Linked DNA regions of Mus musculus. The protein of the gene in region 3 purifies or fractionates together with the protein of the main gene of each other region. This does not show direct contact. Links are inferred from orthologs where the notes say so. Each region holds a gene or a part of one and is shown on either strand. Other genes may lie near its edges.

Region 1 (4,176 bases), on a different chromosome or scaffold from region 3:
AGAAAGCTTTCAGACGTTGGTTCTCTCCCATTACGTGGGCTCTGGGGATTAAACTCAGGCGGTCAGGCTTGCCTTTACCCCTGGAGCCATCTTGGTAGCCCCTCCAATTTCTCTTCGGTATTTAGTTTGGGCCCCGAGCCCATGGATGGAATGCTGCCATCCACATAAAGAGCAGGTTCTCCCTACCTCAGCTAAACACATGCCCAGAGGAGTGTCTACTGGGTGATTTTACATCTAAGCAAGCTGGCAAGAAAGATTAAACAGCTGAACTAGGTTGATCTCAGACTCTAGACTACCGATGCCCAGCAACACATGAGCTCTTCGGGAACAGGAATCAAGTGTAACAGTCAAAACTGTCAGTTCAAGAGCTAGGGGCTTAGCCGTAGAAGGGCTACTTAGAATCCACCACTGAAGAGCTGGGGGCGTGGCTCAGCAACAGTAGACTTACTTTGGGTAAAAAGGCCCTAGGTTTGACTACCAGCAAACAAACCGTCAGTTTTGCATGTGTATGTGTGAGTACCAGTACATGTGCTACAGTTTACGTGTAAGTCACCTTCCACTTCGAGCCAGGGTTTCTTGCTGCTGATGTTTATGCCGGAGCAGCTAGCCCACAAGCTAGCGAGGATTCGCCCATCTCTGATACCTATCTCACTGTAGAAGCATGGGAATTGGATTCAAGAGCTGCAATGCTCCGCAGAAAAATGAGTTCTGCTGATTCAAATATTCATGATTATTTGACAAGTGCCTTGCCTATTGAGCCATCTCCCCATCCCTCCCCCGTCATAATTCTTGTGGTTACTAGGAATTGAACCTCTGGCCTAATCCTATGCTAGGCAACTAGGTAACACTCACTAGTCACGATTCCTTTGCTGAGTTATATCCACAAAGAACTTCCCTCACCTTTAAACCTTCTCTTTTCCCAAGCCTGGGAACCATGAGAGCCGGATACATCCCAGCTGTAGCTAGCTCAGTCGATGAGTCTACTCTCTCATCTTCCTGAGAGCACACTGTAACAATTAAGCTTCCGTGTTACACTCAACAAATTTGATTCCCGTCATACTGTGGTTCAATGTGAGATGCCTTACTGTGGCCTATATACTTGCTCTTTCCTACCATTTTCCTATTCAAGTACACACAGAATTACACTAGGAAAAAGAGGCCATTCGAAGCCCGGCACCAACACAACTTAATAATTTATTATACAGGACAAGGAAGATTCACTTCTCGGGCTCTCCATTCTCAGTCCTCTAGGCTGAAGTAACAAGGTAACAAGAGGCTCAGGACAGAACTCAGAACAAGAGCCACTATGAAGCACTAGAAACCTCGGCCACATGGATGTGTGTGCTCAGAAGCCTTGGTGGGTCCAAGTCAGCCTCCCTTCAGTTACTTGGGCGTGACCCTGAAGACTCGGATGTGGATGGCTGAGTTGTTCCTGACCCTCGTCAGGGGCTCCCGAGAGTCAGTCTCTGGCTCCAACTCGTCCACCAGCTCCACGGTGGAGGTATTGGCGGCCACCTGTAGGGACCCAAAGCTGCCCGCCTGCAGCTGCAGGGCGATGTTGATGGCCCGGTTGATGGCCAGGCCCAAGCCATGAATGTAGATTTCAGTGCATGCGTTCTGCCCCCTAGTGCCTCCGTCCAGGAGCTTTTGGCAGCGAGCTAGCTGGGCCTTAAAGTCAGTCTTCATGTTGACATAAATGTCGTTGGGCCTCCGGGGCAAGCGGTGGGGAAGTCGCTTCCGAAGGGTGTACTCCACAGGGTCCAGCTCAGCCTCGATGGCACAGCGGGGTTCTCTGTTTTCTGCCATGCTCTGAGTCCTGGCATGGAGAAGGAACAAGATTCAGGGAGGTCAGGAGAATCCTTTCTTGCCCGGCTTTCTAAGGGTGCAACCAGAAGGGGGCGCCCTCAACACCCTCTTCCTTCCCAGTGTCTCAAGCCCTTCCACTTCCGCTTTCTCCACTCCCAGTTTTAATTCATTCATCACGTGGTTCCCATTCCCGGCGTGTCCACGCCTACCTTCTTCCTTCCTCAGTGCCCTTCACTCGCGTGAGCCTCGCCGACCGATCCAAGTGGACGTCGCTGGCCTCGATATGCAGAAGAAGAACGGAGAAGGGATCGGAAGAGGAACGCCGGGCAGGCTCGCCAGCAAGGGCTACGCACTGCGCACGCGCGTCCCCGCTCCAAGCCGGAACCGATAAGCTTATGGCCTTCTAGGCTTCCGTACTCTCCGCCTCCTTTCCTCGTGCGCGTGCGCAAGGCGATTTAAGGCTCGCGAGACTTGAGGGTTCGCAGGGTTCTAGTGAGCGCTTCGAAGGGCGGGACTAGCTAGCAGAGGCGGGGCTAATTGACAGAGGCGGGCCCAAGAGGGGCGTGGCGTGGATCGCCCAGTTCTCCCCTCCCCGGGCAGGGCGGGACTCGAGGATCGAGGCGGGAAGCAGGGCTGGAAAAGGGGGTTCGGGCAGCGACCCCGGGTCAGCATTGGAGCTGGGATCGCAGGGGCCGGAAGCCTGTAGTCCACGTCCATCCCACTTCTGAGCAGTGGAGTTGACAGCTGACCTCCCGCCCGACGTCCTGACAGCCCCGGAAGCCGAGAAATCGAAGGGATCGTGTCCACCATGATGGACTCCTCCCTCTGCGAGGGACCCACATGAGGTGCCAAGTGTTGGCAGCTTCCCGCCACACCTCTTAACTGTCCCGCCGCACTCGAGCTGCTTCCCGCGACCGGCAAGCCATGACCGGCCGCTCCCTGGCGGAAGGGACAGGAACTGCAGTGCTTGGGTTCCTAGCCCCTGAAAGTTAGTGGGAATCTGGATCTCTGCCCGCAATGGTAAAGCATTTGGACCGTTCCCTGCAGAAAGGCGTGAAGCCTGCTTTGGGGCTTCGTCCTAGATACATCTCCAGGCCACTTACCTAGGCTGAATCTGACTGAAGGCTGGAAAGGGAAGTGTGCACTCTGCTATATAGCCAACCTTGAACTTCTGATCCCCCTGCCTCCACCTTGTGAGTGCCAGGGTTATAACCGCAGGGACTCACTCAACTGAGATACATCCCTAACTTCTAGGATTTAGGTTAAAATGGAAGGTTTGACATGCTAGACCTCAGTTTACTCCGAGCTGATCTATATATTTAATGAACATTTAGAGGAGTCTCAGGAAGAGTTGCACATATAAACCAAAAAATCTTTTTTTGGGGGGTGGGGGTGGGGATAGGGTTTAACGATGTAGCTCAGGCTAGCCTAGAACTCATGCTCCTGCCTTGGCCTCCCCAGCGCTAATGTTTTAGGTGTGCACGACTGCACCATTTTAATAAACTTATCCTAAAACTTATGGCAAATAAATAGACTGAATAAAATGATTTTGTAACGTTGTTGGACTCAACTGTCTTAGCAATTACGAGCACTTTCTGCTCTTCAAGATGACTCTCTTGAAGAGGACTCGAGTTTGTTCCCGGTACCCATGTTGAATGTTAAGTCCAGCTTCAGGAGACCTGACACCCTCCTCTGGCCTGTGTGTGTGCCCAGACACACACAGGCACATATATAAAAATTTAAAAATATATATTTACTTTTAAAGCTATGGCTATTGTGTGTATGCAGTGCAGGGACCATACACGTTGTGAAGTCGATTCCTCAACCTTTATATTGGTTCTGAGGAGCAAAGGCTCACACAGCAAGGACTTCACAGCTCACACACTGATCCATCTTGCCAGCCCCTTAAGACTTACCATGCAAATACGGTCATTAAGAAAAGTGTGCTGTTGGCAGGTGTATATATACAAAAATCAATAAAATAGAGAACTCAGAAACACTCAAGTACACCAAGCCATTGGAGAAAGGGCCTCACAGCCAGGCTGGCATCAAACTCAGTGAGCGTGCCCTTGAAGGTTGGCTCAACTGCCTCCCGCTGCCAAGTGTGGGAATTACAGGTGTGGGCCAGCATAGCTGATTCATGCAGTGTACTTGCTACCATTTGAGTTATAGCTCCGGCCAACTCATTGTCTTGACAGAAATGCAAACATAGCACAATGCAAAAGGACTGTGTATCGAGTGCTTCTGAAACAGACCCGAGGGTGGGGGAGGGCCTTAAGACCATAGCGTGGCCAGTGGCTCTGAATATGAAACTGTTAACTATAAAACAAATGGAGAAAATGTAAGGGGATTCTTCAAGAGGCTAGTCAG
Region 2 (5,780 bases), on a different chromosome or scaffold from region 3:
GTTCGGTAGAGAAATGTTAAGTGCTGTAGGAAACTGATGTTCTTGCAAGCAAGCATTGTACCAGCCTTTAAAGCAGTGAATTTATATGCGCATGGACATTAGTCTTAATAAACTTTGGTTTTGTTAATCATTGTTTTGAGTGTTTTCTGTACTTCATCTGCCCCACCCAAAGAGAAAAGCACCTCCATGCAGGATCCTAAGAATATATGTAAGTTTTGATTTTATTTCTTTCAGTGCTCATTTAGACATTAGACATAGTGACAAGTCATACAAAACTACTTGGAAATGGACTTTTTACTTTTGGGTGGTTTTCTTATCTTACTAGGGTTGGGAATGAGCTTTTTTATTTTAAGGGGTTGTAATGTTGCAGCTGAAGCTTGTCCACCTTCAGCAAGCTTCCTCTTACTAAGTTTTGTAAGGTCATCAAATGACGTGTCCAAAATCTCGTTGTCCTGGCTTTCCGAGGGTTCAGTCTCTAAACTGTCTGTGGGACCTTGGGTTCTGTCTGGAAGCCATGGCACGTTTAAGCTGGGCACCCTGGGAATGATGGCTTCTACTTCATCAGCAAAGTCCCTGGTGTTCTTTCTGAAACCCAAGGCTAGCACACATTTTAAGCCAATGACAGGAGCAATTCTCTCGCTGAGCTGAGGTACCTGACAGGCAGGAACAGTTCTGCTTAGACTCAGCTGAATCAGGTGTGAGGTGATGATGGCAGGCTTGACTGACTTACACACTAGAACCAGGAGCAGTTCATTCCTCTCCAGAGCTCTGGTGACTTCATTAACACCAATGACCAGCTGTTTCCTGACGTGTACAGGTGTCCACCCTGACACCAGCACATCCCCATCAGGCTCTTTTGGATCCTCGCTAATCTCAATATCTGGCCGGCAACTTTGCTTTTTCATAAGAGCTGTTTTTTTCCTTTTCTTCTTATCTTCAATTTTCTGAAGTCCAATCAATTTAAACTTGGCTTCGAGAGTCTGTAATATAAAGTGTATGTCTTCTCTCTCCAAGGTGCTCCAGGAAATAACATAAGGGTTGTTTAGTGATGTTTTTACAACCAGAGGTCTAGTCTTCCGAATAGATCCCCTCTTTGGTGCCTGAGGGGCTGCAGCCATCTTGAAAACCCTTTGGAAAGAAACAAAATGATGAAACTCCTGTCAGCAATGCATGTCTTGAGAACATTTTGGTTATAGTCTCCAGTCTCTGTTGTTTTGTTTTTTATTCCAGGCTGATATGCTACAGCAAGTCTAATTATATGGGCCCAACTAGATAACCAGTCAGAGAATTTCTGTGGCACAAGGAAGACTTAATTCTCCCTATTTTTTCATGATGCTCAACAGGCAATGTGAGAGTGACTGGTGTTAATCTTACAGATTTGTGAGCATCTTCCAAACTCTAATTGGAATTCCACTCATTTATTTTAAAAATGTTAAAGACATTTATTAGGTTTGGGGTCATAGCACATGTGGTCAGAGGACAGCTCTATTAAAATGGTTTTCTCCATGTGAGTCTCAAGGGAATGAACTCAAGTCACAGGCTTGGTAGTAAATGCCTCTTCCCTCTGAAACATCTTGCCAACCCCTCATTCATTCATTTATAAGCATACTTACTGAGTTACTGCAGTGGGCAGATGGTGTTCCAGACACAGATGCTGGTGGGCTCTGAAGCCCCTGTGTCTGCCCACACAGAGCTTAACCTTCTGTAGTCTCTGAAGTTCATAATGAACCAGGTCAGATTTTAAGAAGCAAAACCGTAGTAATCTGTCCATGGCTAAAACTTTAAGTCTCCCTCCTCTCATGATTCCCAAGTCCCTAAAACATTTGAAACATGCAGGCCCATATTTTCCCTCTCACATGATTATAAGATGACTGCTTTGGCGGGCAATTTCATGAAAAATAAAAAAAATATGAAATTCAGAGATTAATCCATTAGGGAGAAGTAAATGGGCTGCGCTCCTTCCAAAAGCAAATCCGAAACAAAACACTGTTATTTGTTCTTCCTATAATAATTAACCTTACAGACAAGTTAGGACGTTAACTGCTCTCTTGTCGGGCATTCATTCATTTAAACCCTGTTTATCCTTCCCAAAGGCAACTGTATACCTCTGCTCTCAGTTGTCTCCTTCTTAGAGTTCATCTGAGAACTATGAAGACCCAGTTGACAAACTTCAAATAAGTCCCCCCTGCTTAAGGTTCCTCTAATTCAGGGCACTTTCTCCACGCATCTTGTTCCTAACAAACTTACAGAGTTCCCTGGCATGGATTAGGAAGCAGACTCACTGTACAACTCACAGCTAGTTTTTCTAAAGACTTCTTTTAATCATGGATCTATCTTAGAAATAACCTGTGGTTTTTAAGAACCATCAGATGGCTGACTCACCCTAGAGCTTACTGAGCTGGAATTTCTGGGAGTCAACTGTGCCACAGGTGCTGGTAAAAAGCTGCCCAACATTTGGAGATGTTGATGTGAGGCAGGTGGCATCTCCAGACTGCACGGCCTTTGGAGATGGTGTTGCACTCACTCCCAGTAAGAGCTGCAATCTTGATTCTGTCAGTGCTGCCCACTGCTACAGACACTGGCTATAGCTGCTTCCATAATAACTGCTTCCATCAATCCCCATGAGCTGCATGCTCCTCACAAGCTAAGAGATTCAAGAACAGGTCGTCCAAATCTATCGAGGTGACCAGCAGCTGGTAGCTAGCTTTGAGTAAAATGACCAGGAAGCAAGGGACAAATGGTCCCACCACAACGCTTGCCAAACTGCAAGTCAGCTACTGTCCCTGCCTAGCATGGGGGACACTCACAGATGCTCTGCAACCAAGGGATTGCAAGATTGGGATGTATGTCTCTGATTCACAAAAACCTGGAAGGGGAGATGAAAAAAAGAACCAAGCCTACATAAGATGACCGCCATGCAATACTAATTTTTAAAATGCTGAATATTAACAGGTTCACAGAGCTTGATCAAGTACCTTGCCAACTATGTCTGCAAGCTGCTACTGCCTACAGGACCAATTACAAACTCAAAATGTTTACTCCCATTTCTCAAGCATTTCTCCTTTCACTCATCACCCATATTACAGATTCTGGCTATTTAATGAGGCCTCTGGTTTCTCATGTCCTTATTCAACGTACACTGTGCCTGGTAGAGCACTTACATACATTTTTTTCTATCAAATTATTATGAATTATCCTTGCTGTTGCAGGCCATTAGGCATTGGGCAAAGCAAAAAGCTTCTGCGAGTAATAAAAACGGCTCACTCTAAAGCCAGAGTAGTGAGGTTATCTTGAGGAACAGGCCTTAGTTGAAGTCTCTGGAGAAAACGACCATTAACCAACCGCAATCTAAAATATTCCTCCTTTGAAGGAATTCTTTAGATAGCCCAAGAAGGAAGCGGGCAGTGAGGGATTACAGAAGAACATTAAAGTTCAGTATCGCCCGAACAGAGATGCTGGAGTTGAAGATACTGGGTAAGGACAAGATGGTGACTCTAGAGCCTTTCAAGAAGGGCGGCGCGATTAGAATCGCGTCACAGAGACCTTGATTTGGGAAGAGACCCTAGAAAGGCTGTCAGCAGCAGAGAAGCTCCCGCGGTCTCGGGAGGACGAAGGGGTACCCGCATCACACAACACGACGGAAGGAAACCCCCGAAGGCAGGGATCGGCTGAGACCAGCCGGAAAGAACCTCAGGGAGAGCGGGCTCTGGATGACCCCCACCCCGCGGTGACCCGGGTGCCCACGGGCCGGGACTCGAGCCACAGGCACGCACGCGCCCACCTGAGCAGAAGCGCCCCGCGGAGACCACGTGACGGATCGCTTCACTACAGCAACTCGGTCACTACCAGGAACCACTGCGCCCGCTCCACGTGCGCCTGCACTGAGCGTGCGCAGAACACGAGCTCCGCCTACCTGCCTCTGCATTACGTCACTCCCAGTCAGGGACGTCAGGCGTGGTGTGTGGACTAAACCTGGCACAGCACTGCGCAGGCGTGTATTCTGTCTCGCGAGAGTCTGTGGTTGCTGTAGTAACCAGCCTCTCCCTTCTGACTGGTCGTCCAAAATGACGATGCGGAACAGCTCGGTTCTGTGAGAGGTTCGTCTCTCCTTTTGGCTCTCCATTTTTAGCCCAGTTGCTTCTGCCTTGCTGTCTCTTTTTGTTCTGGGGATACAAAACTCCAGCCCTTATAGCCACCCATTCCCCTGCACGCGTCCCTGGGAGAGGCTGGTTACTACAGCAACCACAGACTCTCGCGAGACAGAATACACGCCTGCGCAGTGCTGTGCCAGGTTTAGTCCACACACCACGCCTGACGCCCCTGACTGGGAGTGACGTAATGCAGAGGCAGGTAGGCGGAGCTCGTGTTCTGCCACGAAAATCAAATAAATAGGGGTTATAGGGTTGCATGTACTTAGAGATTATGTGTAGAATCTTGGGCACACTGAAAGGAAAATAGGGGCTGCATTTAGTTCCACAGCAGTACTCCAGAGTACTCCGGCAATAGCTGTTGTGCCTTCTGACAAACGGAGACAAAAAATAAGAAAGGTTATGAAACAAAATCACTGGAAAGTTACAACTGGTAAGCAGTGGAATAATGTACTAAAGATTAAAAATTACGCACGCCTTTAATCCCAGTACTCGGGAGGCAGGCGGATTTCTGAGTTCGAGGCCAGCCTGGTCTACAAAGTGAGTTCCAGGACATCCAGGACTATACAGAGAAACCCTGTCTCAAAAAAACAAAAAACAAAACAAAACAAACAAAAAAAAAAGGCAGGAGAGATGGCTCAGCGGGTAAGAGCACTGACTGCTCTTTCAGAGGTCCTGAGTTCAAGTCCCAGCTCACAACCATCTGTAATGGGATCCAATGCCCTCTTCTGGTGTGTCTGAAGACAGCAACAATGTACTCACATACATTAAATAAATAAATAAATAAATAAATAAATAAATAAATAAAAATTACTTGACAGGAATTACTTTCTGTTCTTATGAATTTGGGAGGATTCAGGTCCTTCTCTTTATCTTCCTCTTTTTTCTCGGTGTTTTCATTGCTCATTTTAGACTAACATATAGGATCTAGCTTCTACGTTTCCATTATTCACCACCTATTGAACATTTAAACAGAACAAACACTGTTGCTTGTGGTCAAAGATTGTTGAAGTTTTTACAGGAAAAGCGTGCTGTGGTTTCTATCACAAGTAGATGAACTAGATTAAGTTCGGTCGAGTTTTGACTGTGCCATATAAGACGTCCTTTACTATTACCCGCAGTCATGTAGCGCTAAAGACAAATCGCGATGGTAGAATTGAAATACTAAAGGTTCACATAAAATCCTGGCTCGTGGAAGACTGAGACAGGAGGCTGCAGACTGGGCCTTCGGGGCCAGAACTTGCACACACCATAACAGAAAAATAAATAAATAAATAAATAAATAAATAAATAAAAATAAAAAAAGGCAGAAAGAGGGGCAAGATAAAGAAGTAAAAAGGTAATGGCTATGAGTGTTGTCCCACCAAAGTTCCAGCTCTTACATTACAAGCCTCTGCCGCCAGGCTGCTATGTTGACACCCTAGCCTTCCCACTAACTAGTGTCCCTACACCTCAGGCAAGTTAATTAGCCAACTATGAAATGATAAAAATAGTGCCTATTCTGAGGATTAGAAGAATATTCTGTGTAAGATGCTTACCACAGTGCCTGCCACATGGTACATGTCTGACAAATGGAACCACTATGACCCAGTGACAGCTGTGGCAGAATTAAGTTAATACAAATTATATATA
Region 3 (5,057 bases):
ACAGTGTATGCAACACAGCATCATCACAACTGCAGCAACCCCCTCAAGTCCTGGCCAGCCCAAACCCACCTTCCCACACTCCCAGCCAACGAGCTCTCAGGTACCAATATTCTGTTAAAACCATGTGCTCTGATACTTCAGCACCTGGGATGGCCTTGCCAGGATTCGAACCTGGATCATCTGTATGGTCAGACAGAGGCTTCCAATGAGCACAAGACCAGCTGCCGGTGCACATCCCTTCCTCACAGGTAAATTCCGAAACTCCAGTCATTTGGGAGAATAAAGAAAGACACACTTTACTAGATACTGAAAACAGAGAACTCAGGAAAAAAATAGATAACAAGCTTAAGAAGTTGGCTCTGTGGTTTACACCTCCCATGTAAAAGATGCTTCAGGCTGTGTCCTCTAACACGCCCCAGACAGAGCTACTCCATAAGTGGCAGGGACTGAATTCCTTGTGCATCTGACAGCTCGACAAGGGGCATAGCAAGCACCTTACCTTGGTATCTTTCTGGATCAGGCAAAGCTCTGGATCGCTGTGGGGGCAAATTTACTCTCGGATCCCTAACTGTCAATCCCAGAATAGTACCTGCTGGAATTTCTGCTGGTGATGATATCCCTTCAACAAAACAGAGAGAATGAATGCATAAAAGCAAGTTTACAGAAAGGCAACACCCAGGGCTTGCGATGTGGCTCAGTGAGCAAAGACACTTGCCGCCAAGTCTGACAACCTGAGTTCTGTCCCTATGAGTAAAGAAGAGAACTGACTTCCTTAAGTACACATGTGTATATGTACACATACACAAACAGAAAATAATAAAGGTAATAAAAATGTTGTATAACACAATCTTGTTTGTATTTTGAAATCTTTCAGATTTTTCCAATGAAACATTTTCCTTGGGATAATTGTTTTAAAATACATATCACCTTTTGCCCATTAATACCTTCAGAAATAAAATTAACACTTTAAAAATAAAGTTTCTTGCAAAATAAAATTAAAAGACCATAAAATTATTCCCTAACAACTGCACACATTTGTCTAACAGCTGTGCGCATCTGGGGGCAGTGTGCAAGGACATTAGGTCAGCAGTTATTGCTCGCTTACTCTTTCTTACTGCAGAAAACCAGTTATTTAGAATAGGAACAAGCTTGTTATTTCATAAACAAGCACAAACTCAATGCTTTAATCTTTAGCTCTGGGCTTCTTACTCGATTCTCGTTATATCACAACAAATAACAGCAGGATAAAGCAAGGCAACCGCTCTCCTGAGCAGTCCCACCCCTCCCTTCCCTTCTCGTCAGCACCAGATCCTCCCTCCTTGTACCTCCCAACAACTCAAACACTGCTTCTTGTCTTTGGTGAAGAGAACGACCATCAGAGCTCCTGCAAGTGTCAGTCCACCAGTGATGTGGTGTCTCCTCGGCATCCTCTTCCCCCTGGAAAACAAGGACCTGGCCTAGTCCCTGCTGCAGCTGTAACACGGCTGTAACAAGGCTACACTCGCTTTGTTTCTGTATGTGAGAACAACTGCTTCACAGAGAGTGGCAGGGAAGATGCCAGCATATCTAAGACAGTAATTGCTACCTGACTAAACATTCTAATTAGCAGTTTCACACACTCAGAATACAGCCATGCTTTTCAAAGACACAGCTTAAGTAAGCATTGTCACTCTCTTTCCCTAAGAGACCCTTTTCCATCTCACTGCCTTCATCCTCTCTTAATTTAAGCGGTAAAGTGTTCCTTTTTTACCAAACCAATGAAAACCTCGAGTAAACCACTTCACTATTCTCAGCAACACCGGACGAGATGCGTAAACACTTCTACTTACATCTTTCTTAGCAAAGCTGGGATTTAGCAAAGTTGGCAAAGCATTTCAAGTATAGAAGTGTGACAAATATGACAGTGAAGGCCACTATTCATGCTGAAAGCCTCCTCCAGACCCTAAAGTGGTAACTCGTCTGCCACTCCCCTAGCAGAGCTAAGTGGTTTGGAGTCCAGGCCCTAGAACAAAGCCTTCTGAACTCAAATCTTCACTCCAACCTTTTTGAGCACATACAAGACCTCCATGTGCTAGGCACTGTGCTAAGCACTGGGGACAGGGCAGAGGGCAGGGCCTGCACTGCCTGTCATCAGCAGCCGCAGACATCAATGAGAGATACGGACGTTAACGTAGAAGGAACGTGCAGGTTCTACAGAAACAACAGGCAAGCGAGTTACCCAGAGGGGATACAGAGTGTAAGACACAGGCTGAGCCTTGAAAACTGAGGGACGCTTAGCCCAACCAAGAGTCGCACAACAGAGTGCTCAACAGATACAAAGAAAACAGCTGTGAGTCCTGACAGAGATGAGAGGTGACACATTCTAGAACCTGAAGGCCAACATGGCCAAAGGTCAAAGGTGAGGTGAGAACTGCAGGTGTGAGGTAACACAGGCCACAAAGAGCGCCCTGACTTTAATCCTTAGTTAAAATTAAATAAATACAAATCAGCTCCTCACCCACTCAGTCACAAGTAGGACTGGCGGCTACAAATCCTGAGAACACAAAGGATGTCAGCCCTGCTTTTGATCTGAAGTGCCGGGAGACATGTTGCTCAGAACTTTCCAGAAAATCAGTCAGATAAGCCAAACTAAAAGAAAACAAAAAACTAAAGGAAAGGGGAATAAAAACTGACATAAAATGTCAAGAGATTTTAGAGACATCCCATTGTCCATCTACGGAGCAGGGATTACCTTCTACAGATTCACAAAAGAGGATATGAATTAAATATTCAATTGACTATCACACCCACTGAAATTCCATCTTCTAGAAGTGAAAGATTAAAAAATATATAAGCAAAAATGAGCTGGTAATAACAGATTATATGGCAACCCAACAGAATACGAGATTGTATGTGAGGCCTCACAAATCTGCCGTGTTTACTCACTGTGTGTACAGGAGCAGCCCTCAGTGCTGAGGTCAGGATACAGTGCGAAAGAGGGCCTATCAGCCGGAACCTGTTCATCTCCATTGTCAAGTCACTGAGAGAAGACCACAAAATGGAAATGTCTATCACACGTGATGTCTGTGATAAAAATGGAACATAGCAAACATGGTGGCACACAGCACAAGGCATAGCCAGGTAGGGTGGCACACACCTTGAATTCCAGCACTTGGGAGGCAGAGGCAGGCAATCTGAGTTTGAGGCCAGCCTGGTGTACACAGTGAGTTCTAAAGACAGCCAGGAAAACCCTCTATTGAAAACAAAACAAAACAAAACAAAAAAGGAAAGGGGGGGAGGTGATGATCGTAGTGTTGTCACAATGACAGTCTCCCACTGAAACTCCTCCTACCTGACTATAATCCCTGTAGTGGGAGATCGCCATGACCGAGGCTGGCAGGCATCTCGTGTCCCGTCACCAATGGTCTTCTTAGCTCGGCTAACACTCTCCCCATCGTCTCTCCTTTTTCTTTTCTTGCTGATTTTGTCACCAGCTAGTCCTGCTTGAATGTCTTCCGGGGCTGGTGTCAGGAGTGGGTCAGGCATGCAGATATTTGACTTGACGGGTTCTGAACAGTGGCATGTTGTTTTTATTTCTTCTAGGACAGCCTAAGGAAGTATGTAAACATTCACTTTAACCTTCAAAATTAAACACAGAGGGCTCAAGAGATATATTTCTTAGTGGTTAAAACCACCTCTTCTGGCCCTTGTGGGTACCAGGCATACACATAAAATAGAAAAATAAATCCTTCAAAACTGCTTTAAGTTAAATGCAGTGTTACAAATTACATTGACAGAGATGAGTGTGTTCACTGTGATAAACATTACATAATGTGTATCTATTTATTAAATCATCATTGTCAAGATAAGTACATCCATTCTTTGCTCAATAGTTTTAGATAAAAAAAAAATTAAATTAAAAAAAAAAAATCAGCCAGGCATGAAGACGTGGGTTTTTGGAAGACAGAAACATGCATATCACCTTGAGTTTGAGGCCAGATAGGTCTACATAGCAACAGGATAGCCAGGGCTACACAGACCCTGTTGAGAGAGGGAGAGGGAGAGAGAGAGAGAGAGAGAGAGAGAGAGAGAGACAGAGACAGAGAGACAGAGAGAGAGAGAGAGAGAGAGAGAGAGAGAGAGAGAGAGAGAAAGAAAGCAAGCAAGCCAGCCAGCCAGGGCTACACAGACCCTGTTGAAAGAAAGAAGAGGAAAGAAAAGGAGAGGAGAGGAAGGGAGGGAAGGAGGGAGGGAAAGAGAGAGGGGGAAGGAAGGAAGGAAGGAAGGAAGGAAGGAAGGAAGGAAGGAAGGAAGGGAGGGAGGGAGGGAAAGCAAAAGAAAGTAAGGGAAGGATGGAAAGTAACATTTTAATTGATTCATTTAAAAAAATTATCACATCAAATCGTCAGCCAAACTTTTTTACCACTGAAATTTCTAAAATACTGTCTTCCAATAGTAATTAAGAATGCAGCAGTAAGCAGGTCCATGTGGTGGAAGGAAAGAGCAGACTCCCACGCGTGTACGGTTAAATCCCTCCACACACTGTGATTAAAGAGATGGAATGCAACAGAAAGACATACCAGTTTAAGAGTTGGGTGAAGCCAGATCCACAGCTGCCTATCCTCAGAAGCATCCTCTGGGGTCATCCTAGACTTCCAGATGAAGGTAACCGGCCCAAGCATTTCCCTGGGATACTTATTTGCCCGGTAAAGCATGAGGCTCCCTTGCCGCTTCCCAGACAAGCAGTGAACTGCAGCAAAAGTCAGGCCTGGCACAAACATAAATGCAACAGCGAGACTGTGGGTGCTCACACAGAGCAGTATTATTCCTGAGAGCCATGCTTTAGCAACTGTCAGTCTCTGAGAGAAGCTTTGGTTCTGGCCAGAGTAAGTCCTCAAAAAATCTTTGTTAAATCAATGATTTAGTGAGTTTCAAGGTGTTTCTGCCTAAGTTTACTCCGGGAATAATGACTCACTTTACATAAGAATGTTATTAAAGATTTAAATATCAACTCAACCTTTCTTAAATTAACGTACTCACTGGGAATAAGAATATCTTACATTTCCATATTAAATCTG
Region 4 (4,572 bases), on a different chromosome or scaffold from region 3:
GGTAGTGGTACTGGGAGAGGGTGGCGGTGTCCTTGAGGGCCAACTTGGGTAGAGGCACAACCATTCACTCTTTTCAGAACAAACCTGCTGCCCCCAGATCTTCCAAATTGTAGTGTACGGCCTACATGATTTCCAAGTTGTTTAACCCAGGCTTGCATACTCCAGGGAACGCAGAGCTCTCTTCTTTTCCAACCAGCACATTCCTACATAGCTTCTAGTCTTTCTGGAACTTTTTCTCAGATCAATCCAAAACTGCCGACTTTAAGTCCACCACTTGCCTGAGTGCACTCAGTCGTGGGGTCTCCCCAAGGTTGGGACTCCAGAGCCTGCTTCTCCCTGTGAAATCTACAAGAATTAAGATTAGATCCAGGGCAGAGTCCCAGTTCGGGGCACACTCCTGGAGTGTGAGCAGGAGATTGGAGCCAGTCACTCACACTTGAGGTAAAAATAAAAAATAAAAAGTCCAGCTGCTGCAGCCACACTCCAAGAAGAGATGAGATATAAGCTCGTTGTTCTGAGCTGAGGGGCTGAGAATTGTCACAGATAGCAAAGAGGAAGAGGAGGGCCGGGCAGCTCTCCCCCTAGACTGATGCTGTGCTCATCCAAACACCATCTTGCTGATACTTTGAGAACACCGTTCCTTACAGTCCTCAGTGCGTCTTCCTTCCCGGTGCTTCCCACGTCTGTCTGATTCCCTCCCTGCCTTTCCATGGAAACGGGATTGAATATTGAGGGCGTGGCCCCAGGCCAGGGTCACTCCTTATTAAACAGTCTTGCTTTGATCAGACCTCATCTTTCTACTGCCCACCTCACCTCGCAGCAGAGCCCGAGCCTCTGCTCAGATTCAGTGGAGTTCCCAGAGTTTGCAAGTACCCGCCCCCACACACACACATTCCGCCAAGGCACTCCACCCTGCCTCCCACCTCTTAAAACCTGTCTTCTCTCAGTCTCCTTTTAACAAAAACAACCCTCTGGATTTCTAGAGGCCAAGGCTGACTGGCAAGGAATTCCACCTGGAATTGGAAGTCAGGAATCCGGCGTTAGCTCGGGCTGAGCCACGCTCATAAACATGTATGCAGCTCCAGTAAAGGACTTTCAGGCATGAATATAAGAATTTAACGCCTTGGAAGAAATGGTCTCCTGTTCCCCATTCACTTTAGGCTGGCCCAACGCATCACTTCCTGCATTTCAGAGGTGCATAGGTGCCGGGAGCCTGGAGGTATGATCAGGAGGAGCAAAGCTTAGTGTCTCTCTAAGCAGCTACGCAAGGACCAGGCCACGACGTAGCGGTCCCAGCCCAGGGAAGGCGCTGCGTGCAGCCGCAGCCAACGCCTCCCACTCTCTGCTGACCATGCACTGGCTGCCCTTGACGCAAAAATATAGTAAGAGAACGGGAGGGAGGTCCCTGGAGGGGTGGAGTAGCGAAGCCCCAAAAGGTGGTTTGGAGATCTCTTACCTAGGAGGGGTCTAGGGATGCCCTTGCGCTGGAACCCCGCAGGGCTCAGGGACCAGGCTTGAGTCGGCATTTGAACCTTAAGCATAGTATTTATTTAGGTTGTTCCTGCATAAGGTCTGGTTCAGGGAGAACAGATGGTGACTTCGGAGAACTTCACCTCCCAAATCACCCGTGGCTCTGTGACCCCAGCCGCTGAGCTCCAGCGCTGGATCCCAAAGGCTGGAGGGACTGGGACAAGTCACGCAGAGTTGGGGCGGGTCCTGGGCGAAGGGGCGGGTCCTATCTGGCTCCCAGGCGGAGCTTCTGCTAAAGGCGCGGAGCACAAGGTGCCGAGGGCGCAGAGTAGAACATCACTACCCTGTAGAAGTCTGGGCTGAAGACTGCACGTTCCCAGCCCACCCTCCAACCTTCACTCGGCGCCGGCACCCCAATCCCTGCCAGCTCTCGCCCGGCACGACCCGCGGCCATGCAGCCCCGGGCTTGAGGCGGCCCCATGGCAAAACCTGCGATCCCAGCGACGACGGCGCATGGAGAACTTCCGTAAGGTGCGCTCGGAGGAGGCGCCGGCGGGGGACGGTGATGAGGGTGGCAGCCCGAACTCTGGCCCTTTTGCAGATCTGGCACCCGGTGCTGTACACATGCGGGTCAAGGAGGGCAGCAAGATCCGCAACCTACTGGCCTTCGCCACCGCCAGCATGGCGCAGCCAGCCACGCGCGCCATCGTCTTCAGTGGCTGCGGCCGGGCCACCACCAAGACCGTCACGTGCGCCGAGATTCTCAAGCGCCGCCTGGCGGGCTTACACCAGGTCACGCGGCTGCGCTACCGGAGCGTGCGCGAGGTGTGGCAGAGCCTCCCGCCTGGGCCCACACCGGGTCAGACGCCCAGCGATCCGGCCGCCAGTCTCAGTGTACTTAAGAATGTACCGAGCCTCGCCATCCTACTTTCAAAGGACGCACTGGATCCACGACAACTTGGCTACCAGCCTCCGAACCTCAGTCCTGGTCCTTCGTCCCCTCCTACGGTGTCGACGTCCAAGAGGAGCCTGGGGGAATCTGCTGCTGAAGAAGGCACCGCTAAGCGGTCTCAGCCTGAGCCAGAGGCTGAGAATGAGGACAGGACCGCCTGAGAATTCTCGCCTCTGAGCCACCCAGACCGACTGAATCATATATCTTCAACACTCCTGCATACCTTTCAACACACGCACCTTTCATACCTGGGTTTTAAGGGGCCCATGTTCCTGGACACCGGTCCTCAGAATGACAGCGCGGATCCCAAGGCGACAGGAGAGAGCTCAGGAATGAGAAGAGAGGATCCTTGAAGTCCAAGGAAACTTTGTGGGACATGTTACCAGAAGCCACAGAACACCACCCACACCTTTGCTAGGCCGTCTTTTTTAGGGAAGCATGGTGGGTAGTGGGACTCTTGAGCTTTCTTGGGGACCCAGACGTTAAAAGCACCCAGTATGCATGGATGCTGACAGTTGAGGCTTTAAAAATCATCTTTGCTGTTAACTGAGAGCGGGAGCTACGGAGCTGATTACTTGAGGATGGCCAAGTTGAAAATGTCCGGACCCTATTCTGCACCCCCACACACACACACACCCTAGCAATTCCCTTTTAGCATCCCTCCCCCACCCGCCTTGCATGATGGCTGAGAGGGGACTTAGGACAAAATCTGCCATGCTTCCTCCCCGAGTCCTGCTGGAGTCTTGCTTCCAATAAAACAAACGTGAAAATGGCTCTGTCTTCAGTTTTGTTCTTTTTTTCTTTTTCCTTACCCACTCGCCTGTGCAGAGACCACTTTGGCATGCTTGCCTTCAACCCTATTAGCCTTTGGAGTCTTCAAGGTCAGACACAGAGACTGGGGCAGTGTCAAAATGTTGAAAGAGGGACTTGTGGTGGAGGGGGCCGGGGTCTGTGTCACTGTTGTATCACCACAAGGGAAAGGAAGCAGTTTTGCTACTTCTCTGGGAGGGGAAGGAGGGGGGAGCATTGATGAGCTGGAGGCGGCAGCCTGCCAAGGCCGGCAGACCATGCTAAGGTTCTAACCTTGCTCGCTCCTCGCAGTAGACATTCTTACCCAGAGGCAGGCACAAAGCCCCAAGAGTAGGAGCTCCCCTTCACTGCCCTCTCTCTGCAAAAGGACAGCACACCCTTGGGAGAGGGGGAGGAGAGAGACAGCACAAATCCACTGCTGGAAATTACTATTCAGCAGAGAAGCTTGGGCTGTGAATCACTGCGGGCTCCCTGATAAGCCGCTGCCTCCAGCCCTGCACAGCTGTGTGTGGAGAGATAACAGCCTCAGATGCCTCTCAGCCCAAGTCCAAGCCTGGAGGGGGCGGGGGTGTGCTGTGTGCTGGGGAGCTGTGCAGCGTACAGCTCAGAATCTTCAGAGCAGATGCTACCCCATGGAACCCAGCACCTCTGGAAAGGAGATGGGAGAGAATAAATTTGTAAGTCACTTTGCCTGTAGAACCTTGAAATAAATCCTACTGGCGAGGACGTGGGTTTCTGCAGCTGATGGAGGGCGCCTTGGGGAAGCCTCTTCTCTCTTCCCAGTATCTCTGCTTGTGTTTTGGATCACTGACTCTTGTCATCCAGACTGTCGATCATTGCCTTTCACCTCCCACCCCACCTTCCTGACTTAATTATTTATTTTTAGGAGAGGTCTTGCCATGTAGTGCAGGCTGGACAAGAACTGATCCTCCTGCCCTAGCCTCCCAAATGCTGCGATTACAGGTGTGTAATTTGTCCAGCTCTATTTCTTGTTCTTGAGGAATCCCTAGGGAGAGCCAGGGGATCTAGATGTGTTTGTTGGCCTGATGTGGAGTAAGATGCATGGAAGACTGAAGTTACTGAAGATGTAACTCGGCTGGGAGAGCATTTGCCCAGCATGTATAAAGTCTGTTTTTTGACTCCCAGCACCATGTAAATTTGTCATGGTGGTGCACCCCTGTACTACCTGAATCTAGAGGTGGAAACAGGAATACAAAAAATTAAAGATCAGGCTGGAGGGATGGCGGTTAAGAGCACTGACTGCTCTTTGTAAGGTCCTGAGTTCAAATCCCAGCAACCACATGGTGGCTCACAACCATCTGCAATGGGCTCTGATGCCC
Region 5 (4,572 bases), on a different chromosome or scaffold from region 3:
GGATTTGGCTAGCCATACTCTATGTAGTCTCATGTGCAACTTCATCAGTAGTGCTTGGGAAGATGTTGTGGACCTTGGTCCCCTGGGGGAGGTTAGTGATACAACAGTAGCACATCCTAGACAAGGCAAAAAGCGCAGAGACAGTGTGACAGGGGAGCATCACATTGTCTTCCCTGAGAACATCCTTAGCTAGTCAATGGAAACTTGAGTTGGGGCTGGCCCCAGCAAGTTTTCTGGGACATAACTATGCAACATAGTGTGCCTTTTTCATCTCAGAGGGTGTGGATGAATAGTTCTGCTCGATGTTATAGCACACATGCGGTTTCACTCAGGTACAACAGTAGTCACTGGACACAGAAGATGGTGTTCCTTGTAAGGAACATATACATACTTGATTCTAGTCTTTCACATTCTTGTGGGTATCCTGCTGGGAAGCCCATGTCCCTGAGCCAGCCTTTCTGGTTCAGATCTCAGCTTTCCTTGGGTAAAGTCAATGAGACCTGAGTAATGCTCACTTTCAGGGTGAGAGCCCATGTGTGCCCTCCACCAGGGAAACAGGGGTCAGGTGGGTCTGGGGAGTGCCATGAGGAATGTCTTGATGATGTAGATAGAACTGGGGTCCAGAGAGTGGTAGAACAGGTCCAGACTGTGGTACTTGGGGGTGCTGGTTAGTTAGAATTCCCATTGCTGTGAAGATTTACCATTCTAATAAAGGAAAACATTTAATTGGAGGCTGGCTTAGAGTTTCAGAGGTTTAGTCTGTTATCATTGTGGGAAGCACAGCACCATTTAAACAGTCATGGTGCTGGAGAAGCTGAGAGTTGGACATTTTGATCTGGAGGCAGCCTGGAGGAGACTGCATTCCAGACCATGCAAAGCTTGATCACATACCTGAGACTTCAAAGCCCACCTCTCCAGTGTCACATCTCCTCCAACAAGGCCAGAGTTCCTTAAGAGTGGCACTCCCTATGGGTCAAGCATTCACACACGAGTCTACATGGGGCCATACTTATTCAAACCACTGTAGGTGGTTCTGGGAGTAAGCATTCTATTTTTCTGTCATATGAAGAATGTTAGCCTTACTCATTTCTCTTCCACTCAGTGTGATCTGAGTCGGAGCCATCCAGGAAGTGACCCCACCAGCACCACCGCCTCCCTGTGAGTGGTTACATGTGTTGCCAGGAGAATTTCTGAGTTGGCTGGCAGACATTTGCTTCTTACAAGCAAGGGGCAAGTGATTCCTGTGAACCAGGTTTCAACTACAAGGCTTTCATGATACCAGCCTGGAGTGCTGGCCCAGTTCCAATGGTACTGGCAGATCTGGCCCTCTGCCCCATTCTGACTACTGTAGCCAAATCTGAGCCATCTAGCAAGCTCACGACGCCTGTGTGTGAGAGCAGCAAAGTGTAGGCAGCTCAGGGTTTGGAGCTGAGATGACTTCCAGTCAGATCTGATGTTTCATACCGTGAAAGCAATCGGAGACGGGAGGTGGCCATGGGGTGAGGGAGCCACAACCCCCCCTTCCTTTCAACCCAGCAGAAGTACAGGAATTTGAAGCCATTTATGCCCGTGGTCTGGTTTTATTATTATTTCAATAGCTGATTTTGTTAGAATGTTCAGGATACACAGAGAAGTAGGAAAGGCAGAGCCTAAATGCCCCCTTCTTCAGATGACCCAAGGTTAATCCTGGTGTGTTTCTGCTAGTCTTTCCTCCCTGTGGAACTAAAGCTAACTTAAGGTCACCTAACAGTACAAATATTTACCCCTAGCTTTCTCCCGAGTTGTTCGATGCTCTTCAGCCCCTCTGTTTTCCCTGGACTACAGACGGGCTACAGCCAGAGGCTCTTCAAGAAAAAGTGAGTATTTAGGGAGTTTCCAGTTCTTCAGTGTCAGGGACATCTGTCTCCAGTGGCAGAGTTCACAGGTCAATTGATCCCTTTGCTTTGAACTTCTTGGCAGACCGCTCACTTGCCCGAAGCTGGAATTTGCTTCCATAAATGTAGGAAATGAAGTCATCAATTTCTATGGTGAACACACAATTCAGCTTGGGGATGACTGAAGGGAAAAAAAAAAGAGGGGGAAAAAAGGATGAGAAGCAACATGGGGAGTGCATTCATTTTTGTGTGGAGCATTATTCATACATACTTGTATTCAAGTGAGTTGGACAGGTGTGGTGGCACACACTTTAATACGAGCACCTAGGAGACAAAGCCAGGCAGCAGGCAGATTTCTGAGTTCAAGGGCAGCCTGGTCTACATAGCACGTTCCAAGCTAGCCAAGGCTAGATAGTGAGAATGTCTAAAAAAAGTCTATAGGAATGAGGAGATCAAGCCAGAAATACCAAGGGAGACATGGGCCATTTGACTCAGTCTAAATGTAACTCAATGCCTAATTACAGGTTCTGGGGTGAATGACTCAACTCCCACGACCGAAGGCTCCCAGGCCCACCACCAGGTAGGGTTTTCCATACAATTTTGCACAGGTTCTTAGATGTGTGCTCATGAGGAAACTTCTATACCACTTCCTTAGACTTACAGTGCAAGCAGAACATCATGGAAAAACAATGAAGCAGGGCTCTGGGGGTAAGCCAGGGGCAGAGCGCAGGATTAGTAGACAGAGGTCCTGGGTTTAATTTCCAGAATCAACAGATAAAGGAATGAGTACAAACCCTCCATCTGTTGTTTGAATCTCTGGATATGTGGGTAAGGTCAGGTACAGAGACCCCAAAAGATCCAGAGTACCTGCTGGAACTTGCTAAAACTCAAGAGAACTAGGGTGCAGTTCTCAGAACTCCAGGTATAGGTTGCTTTGGTTTCTCCTGCCTTTCTTTTAGTTACTCATTTGAGAGGTGGTGACTTTGGTAGGTAGAGATCCAAGAAACAACCAAGCAGTTCTTCTGTCCTGTTCATGGACAGGCTGCAGGCTGTGTTCATAGATGTCTCCTGGGAGAGCCACATAGGCAGCGACCTCACTCACATCATAGTAAGCACTTGCAACCTGTTTGACTCCACAGGAAAGCAAACCTGGAAGGGAGATATAGTGGCATCTGATACCCTGGGGACACAGCACTCACCTTTTAGGTGGTCTTCTCTGGTGATGATCTTAAAGACATGTTTGGTCTCCTGCAGAAGGATTCCTGTAACTCCCACATAGGAGGGGCACTTGGATTTCGTGACTGCAAAGGAGAAAGGCAACTGACTGTAAGGACTGGGTGGTGCTGGCAGTCATTGCCAAGCCTCAGAGACAGGAAGATGGGCTTTTCTAAGCTGAGGAAGAAAGTGCTCAGAAGATAGTGGCTCTTGGGCAGTGACCCAGCTAGCAAGAGCCCAGGCTTCCTAGCCCCTTGTCCTGTGCTTCATGATCTCTTGGCTATTCTTGGGTGTCCTTTAGTTTTGGGCAGGGTTCTGGAGCCGAGAGGTAATACACAGAACCAACAAGTCCAGTGTACTGCTGTTGGAGCAAACACCATGGGCAGGGCATCTATCATTTACTTTTGGGTCTCCTGAACTTTGTCTGGAATGTAGTCCTTCTATAGAGTTGCCTAGCAATGGCATGAGCCACCTCATAGGCAGGCCCCTTTCCGCTTCCGTGTAGTCAGCATTCACAGAAGAAACTATGTGCCCAGTGAGCTAGGAGGGTGCTGGGGCAGGACACTGAATGAGATGGTTTGTATTCTGCTCCTGTGGAGCTGAAGCTGTGGTAGAGGACAATGTATAGTAAAACACGGGCAATTCTAATTCTTGATACTGATAATGGCTACAAGGAAAATAAGAACAGAATGGGGGTGGAAGAAGAAACTTTAGTGCTAGTAGACTCTCAGAAGTGACATCAGGAAAGGGGACCGAGGTACATGCATATGCAGAACCCCTTGGTTGAATGAAGGACTCAAGCAAAGACAACTGGTGTGCAAGCTACAAAGTGGCCAAAGGACACCGAAGCTGCTAGAGGCCTAGAACGGGTAACGTAAACAGCAGTCTGAAGTCTGACTGCAGCCTTCATTCTGGGTATTTAACCTTGTAGTGTATGTGGGAATAAAACAGTATGTGACCTGGGCAGGGTGTGGGGAGGCCAGAGAAAGTAGTCGCAGCACCTTGAGGGAGTGGGTCAGATTTGGGAGCTAGGTGTGTTAATGTCCTTGAGGTAGAGGATTGGGGAAAGAGGTAATTTGTATGTACTTCCTAGTTTCTAGCCTGGACAAGCTGTGCTATTCTAGGAGATGAGGCAAGCAGATCAGAGACAGCTGACCTCAGGGGACCAACGGCTTGGTGTTGGATAGCTAATCTGAGGTAGCTCTTGGATGTCCATCCAGGCAGCTTTGGGTGTCATGGGGTGAAGGAGTCGTGGGAAAAGTCTGCACTGGCGGTGACCCCTTGGAAACCATGATGGGAGGGAATCTGGGCCCAAGAGAATCGGCTAGAGCCTCGATTCCAACAGTGTGAGCAGATGGCACCAAGAGAGCACTTAGTGTGTGTTTAACAAGGAACCAGGATGGGTTAGATCACAACTATCTCAGATCCTCACTGCTTGTGACTTGGAGATAGTTCAGGGATGCCAAGTGACAGATGACAGGCT
Region 6 (3,836 bases), on a different chromosome or scaffold from region 3:
CACTGAAAAGTGACACTGGAGGAAGGGTGTGGTGAGGAGGAAGGAAGAGCAGAGCTGCAGGAGGAGTGGGCTCTGCCTCATTGTGGGCCTCACACTCCCCTCAGGTACACAAACCGTACATGTGCAGACCATGGAAGAAGTCCAGGAGTCGGAGCGAACTGTCTCAGGAGCAAGAGGACTAATGGGAGGTGGTGTGAGGGAGTATGCACAGAAGGACTGGTCTGAGGTTAGGAAGGGAACCTGCACAAGAGGACTAGTTGGGATCTGCGGGGTGTGGGGAGTGTAACTAGTATGCATGAAGGGGACTAATAGCTGTAAGGGGTGTGGAGTGGCAGGGAATATGCACAAGAGACTAACGGGGTGAGAAAGGAGGGTGGAGGGCATGTGCCCAGAGCACATTTATTAGACTTGCAAAAAATGGCCTTATGTAACCTAGTATAATATTTTTACATAACCAATGACGCCCCCCAACCCCTTGGGAAAAACACACCCAAAATACGTAACCGTAGATACATGATCATGTAAACCAAAATAAGAAACATTCTGAGTTATAATAAAAACAAAAGTTATAGACTGAGTTTAGATAGGTGGATTTAAAAAATGATGTTTCTGGGTTGTTTTGTTTTGTTTTGTTGTTGTTTTTTGAGACAAGGTTTCTCTGTGTAGCCCTGGCTGTCCTGGAACTCACTCTGTAGACCAGGTTGGCCTCGAACTTAGAAATTCACCTGCCTCTGCCTCCCAAGTGCTGGGATTAAAGGCGTGTGCCACCACTGCCCATCGACGTTTCTGGTTTTTTTTTTTTTTTACTTAATGGTTTGATGTTTTCGTTTCTTTTCTGTTCCTGTGTAAAATACTCTGATAAGAGCAACCCAGAGAGTAATCAGTTTATTTCAGCTCACAGTGCAAGGGTAGAGTCCATCTTGGAAGGGAGTTCAGGGGCACAGGAGCCTGAAGCAGCTGGCTGCATCCTATTCCCAGCTGAGGAGCGCATGTCTGAGTGCCAGTGCTCAGCTTGCTTTCTCTAGTTTATTCAATCCAGGATCCCTAGCCAGGAAGAGGGTCTTCTCACATCCACTAACCAAACACTCACATTCTCAGGGGCTTACCGAATCTAGATAACCCCTCACAGGTGATTCTGGAACGGGATGGTTCTAGATCCTGTCAAACTAACACTACTATTCCCACTCCTGTTTCTGAAACTTATTTATTTTAGCAGGGAGAAAGACCACCCAGAGAAAAGCAGGAGCGATGTTAAAAGCCTCTGAAAATGTGGGCTGGGGACAGTGTGTAGTTTGAAAGAACACATTCAACAGTCATTCTGTAATGCAAACTACATACAATGCACACACTACATACAATGCACACACTACATACAATGCACACACTACATACAATGCACACACTACAGAGAGGAAGGCCTGAAATGAGGGCAAGGAACAGAATATGGTTAGAACTGGTTGAGAAGACACCCTTATAAGAACTCTGTAGGAAGGATAGTTAAAGCACATATATGCCAATTATCTGATGATAACCTGCCTCTAACGAGACCATTCTGATTTTACTATAAATAACAACATGCTTACCTCCATGGAGAAATACAGCTCTGCAATTTGTGGACACGGCAGCCTTGCCATCATTTTCAGAAAGCCCAAACAGCAGTCCTCTGATAGGGTCATTAAGGACTTCAACCCAGAGTCCGCCAAGGATATGAGACAACACAAACACAAACACAAACGAAGGGCAGCTCACCTGCTCACAGTGGCAGACAGACTTAGCCTGCCTGAGACCTGCACCCAAGAAGTCTCAATTAACTGTTTTGTCCTGTACAGTCCCTTGTCTCTCTTTTCTGCTGCTTAATCCAAACACCAGGAGAAGAAGAAGAAAGCTACAACTAGTTGTTATTGACTTCCGAGGCTGCTGGTCAGTAAACTTACAACTAAATGATAACAAAACACCAGGCTAAATTATAATAGCACTTTTGATTACATTTTTCTAAGGGAAAATTCTAGTTCAACGTGATGGCTCAGAAGAATTGTATAGAACAAATGATCAGCAACTCTGTTTTAACATTTAAGGGTGTCTGTTGGCAACCTGTGGCCTTGGATGGATGCCCAAGACCCGCAAGGTAGAAGGAGAGAACTACTTCCTGAAGTTGTCTTCTGATCAATGCCCAATAGGAACATAGGTTTTAAACAGAATACTGAGAGGATACAAGTTTGCCACGTCATATGGTCCTCTTATTTCCAAAGGCTAAAATGAGAAAAATAGAAAATAAAATGAGATATGAGATGTTATTAACATCTTAATTATTTATAATAAGTACAACTAAGTATCCAAAGATAAGTAAATTTCATAAATTAAGATCCTTATAATTGTGATAAGTTTTTAAAAATATATAATAAACCATATAAAGGGTTGTTTACAAGGTAAAGGGAAAAATAAAATCACTTTATTCTAGTTAATTCACAAATACAAACATGCATAGGCAAAACCCGAAGGCAAAATCAATGGGATACATTTCGCAATTACCATCGGCAAACAGTTACAAGCACTAAGAGGCAGTTCATCTCACTGTCTTGTCAGGTGTTCTAAAAGTGTAGCCAAGCTTTGTAACTGCTGGGACAAAGTATTCCATCTATGCTTACCCTTTCTGCAGCACTGGACAGAATTACATTCTATAAAACAGAAAGTGAGCAATATTAATCTTAGATAATTAATAACATAATTGAAGAATTGTATAGAACAAATGATCAGCAACTCTGTCTAACATTTAAGGCTGAAATACCAAGTTCTATTTTTAAAAGATAAGGTAAACAACGAATGAGAAAGCATCGAAAGCTCTCACTCAAGGCAGCCAATTTAAAAAAAGCAGAATAAACTTTGTAAGTAAATCTTAGTGAGGACGAATTAAAAGCTGTAACTTTAATTCACTCAGAGATAATCAACTATTATCTACAGAAGTCTTTTCATTGTGGCAAACTACAAATCCCTTATCAAAACTAGAGGCTTTCGGCACATCTTTCCTCCCTATCTTACTCCGCCCTTGGGAGGTTTTACAAGATCTCGGAAAGCTCATTGAAACTGAAGAATTTAGTGTTTTGAAAATTTTCTGCTTAAGGCAAGGAATCAGTTGACAGCACGGACACACTACTAAACTGTCAGAAGCAGAAAGCATCCTCTGGGCTGGAACTATACCTTTCCTTTGCAGATCTGCATCAAATTGAGGGCATTGGAGATTGTGTACCTTCTCATCGTTGCATCTCTGATAGCAGGACCATAGACAAGTTCAAAGCCCAGGCCTCGCTCAATTGCCTTTACCAGAAATAAAGAAGACAAAGTATAAACCGTCAAAGACAAGTACATTACCTACTTCCCTCTGAAGTCTCTTTCCACCTCCCTTCTCCCCCTCTGTGCATGTCTCCTACATGGCAAGGGACTGGCTTAAACAAAGGCAGGCCCACAGCTCTGCACCCCTATCCAAAGTGAGCAAACAGACATGAAGGTCTACTTCATGACAGAGCTTATGTCAGTTTGGGAAGCTACCTACACAAACAGGACCTGCAGAGGCAGAGACAGCCAAGTGTGTGCAGTGTGCACGTGCACAGGGCTACTGCTCACCTGGTCCGAAGAAAAGGATGTGTGTGCTTCCCTATGCAGGGAATCTGAGCCAACAGAGAGCCAAGCAACTTGACCCAGGAATGAAAGAAAGGAGATGAAGATCTGAAGGGCCGGAGGAGCGGGAGGGGAACCTCACAGCTACGTCATTTACTACACACAGATGAATAACTGAACAATGACGGCCATGGCTAACAGAATGCTATGTGGGAAGAACAGTG

The links.
Region 1: the proteins of Pop1 (region 3) and Pop7 purify together in Homo sapiens (affinity purification with mass spectrometry; 3 studies listed by BioGRID and IntAct, with this or other methods). This does not show direct contact. The link is inferred for Mus musculus from reciprocal best matches to the Homo sapiens genes POP1 and POP7.
Region 2: the proteins of Pop1 (region 3) and Rpp38 purify together in Homo sapiens (affinity purification with mass spectrometry; 3 studies listed by BioGRID and IntAct, with this or other methods). This does not show direct contact. The link is inferred for Mus musculus from reciprocal best matches to the Homo sapiens genes POP1 and RPP38.
Region 4: the proteins of Pop1 (region 3) and Rpp25 purify together in Homo sapiens (affinity purification with mass spectrometry; 3 studies listed by BioGRID and IntAct, counting the BioPlex papers as one, with this or other methods). This does not show direct contact. The link is inferred for Mus musculus from reciprocal best matches to the Homo sapiens genes POP1 and RPP25.
Region 5: the proteins of Pop1 (region 3) and Pop4 purify together in Homo sapiens (affinity purification with mass spectrometry; 5 studies listed by BioGRID and IntAct, counting the BioPlex papers as one, with this or other methods). This does not show direct contact. The link is inferred for Mus musculus from reciprocal best matches to the Homo sapiens genes POP1 and POP4.
Region 6: the proteins of Pop1 (region 3) and Rpp30 purify together in Homo sapiens (affinity purification with mass spectrometry; 5 studies listed by BioGRID and IntAct, counting the BioPlex papers as one, with this or other methods). This does not show direct contact. The link is inferred for Mus musculus from reciprocal best matches to the Homo sapiens genes POP1 and RPP30.

What each region holds. Positions count from the first base shown.
Region 1 is NC_000071.6:137,500,264-137,504,439, forward strand, and holds Pop7 (ribonuclease P protein subunit p20), read right to left. Parts: upstream 2,167-4,176; 5' UTR 2,016-2,166; intron 1,817-2,015; 5' UTR 1,807-1,816; coding exon 1,384-1,806; 3' UTR 1,176-1,383; downstream 1-1,175. UniProt on the Homo sapiens protein: Component of ribonuclease P, a ribonucleoprotein complex that generates mature tRNA molecules by cleaving their 5'-ends. Also a component of the MRP ribonuclease complex, which cleaves pre-rRNA sequences.
Region 2 is NC_000068.7:3,328,746-3,334,525, forward strand, and holds Rpp38 (ribonuclease P protein subunit p38), read right to left. Parts: upstream 3,884-5,780; 5' UTR 3,782-3,883; intron 3,754-3,781; exon of another isoform or gene 2,485-3,753; coding exon of another isoform or gene 2,383-2,484; intron 1,712-2,382; coding exon of another isoform or gene 1,614-1,711; intron 1,129-1,613; coding exon of another isoform or gene 1,119-1,128; coding exon 276-1,118; 3' UTR 204-275; downstream 1-203. UniProt on the Homo sapiens protein: Component of ribonuclease P, a ribonucleoprotein complex that generates mature tRNA molecules by cleaving their 5'-ends. Also a component of the MRP ribonuclease complex, which cleaves pre-rRNA sequences.
Region 3 is NC_000081.6:34,508,294-34,513,350, reverse strand, and holds part of Pop1 (ribonucleases P/MRP protein subunit POP1), read right to left. Parts: intron 4,748-5,057; coding exon 4,560-4,747; intron 3,589-4,559; coding exon 3,332-3,588; intron 3,020-3,331; coding exon 2,926-3,019; intron 1,438-2,925; coding exon 1,326-1,437; intron 620-1,325; coding exon 500-619; intron 262-499; coding exon of another isoform or gene 172-261; intron 166-171; exon of another isoform or gene 1-165. UniProt on the Homo sapiens protein: Component of ribonuclease P, a ribonucleoprotein complex that generates mature tRNA molecules by cleaving their 5'-ends. Also a component of the MRP ribonuclease complex, which cleaves pre-rRNA sequences.
Region 4 is NC_000075.6:57,502,254-57,506,825, forward strand, and holds Rpp25 (ribonuclease P protein subunit p25), read left to right. Parts: upstream 1-1,848; 5' UTR 1,849-1,983; coding exon 1,984-2,583; 3' UTR 2,584-3,194; downstream 3,195-4,572. UniProt on the Homo sapiens protein: Component of ribonuclease P, a ribonucleoprotein complex that generates mature tRNA molecules by cleaving their 5'-ends. Also a component of the MRP ribonuclease complex, which cleaves pre-rRNA sequences.
Region 5 is NC_000073.6:38,261,255-38,265,826, forward strand, and holds the end of Pop4 (ribonuclease P protein subunit p29), read right to left. Parts: intron 3,176-4,572; coding exon 3,074-3,175; intron 2,056-3,073; coding exon 1,919-2,055; 3' UTR 1,566-1,918; downstream 1-1,565. UniProt on the Homo sapiens protein: Component of ribonuclease P, a ribonucleoprotein complex that generates mature tRNA molecules by cleaving their 5'-ends.
Region 6 is NC_000085.6:36,099,648-36,103,483, reverse strand, and holds part of Rpp30 (ribonuclease P protein subunit p30), read right to left. Parts: intron 3,313-3,836; coding exon 3,196-3,312; intron 2,676-3,195; coding exon 2,646-2,675; intron 2,251-2,645; coding exon 2,213-2,250; intron 1,664-2,212; coding exon 1,584-1,663; intron 1-1,583. UniProt on the Homo sapiens protein: Component of ribonuclease P, a ribonucleoprotein complex that generates mature tRNA molecules by cleaving their 5'-ends. Also a component of the MRP ribonuclease complex, which cleaves pre-rRNA sequences.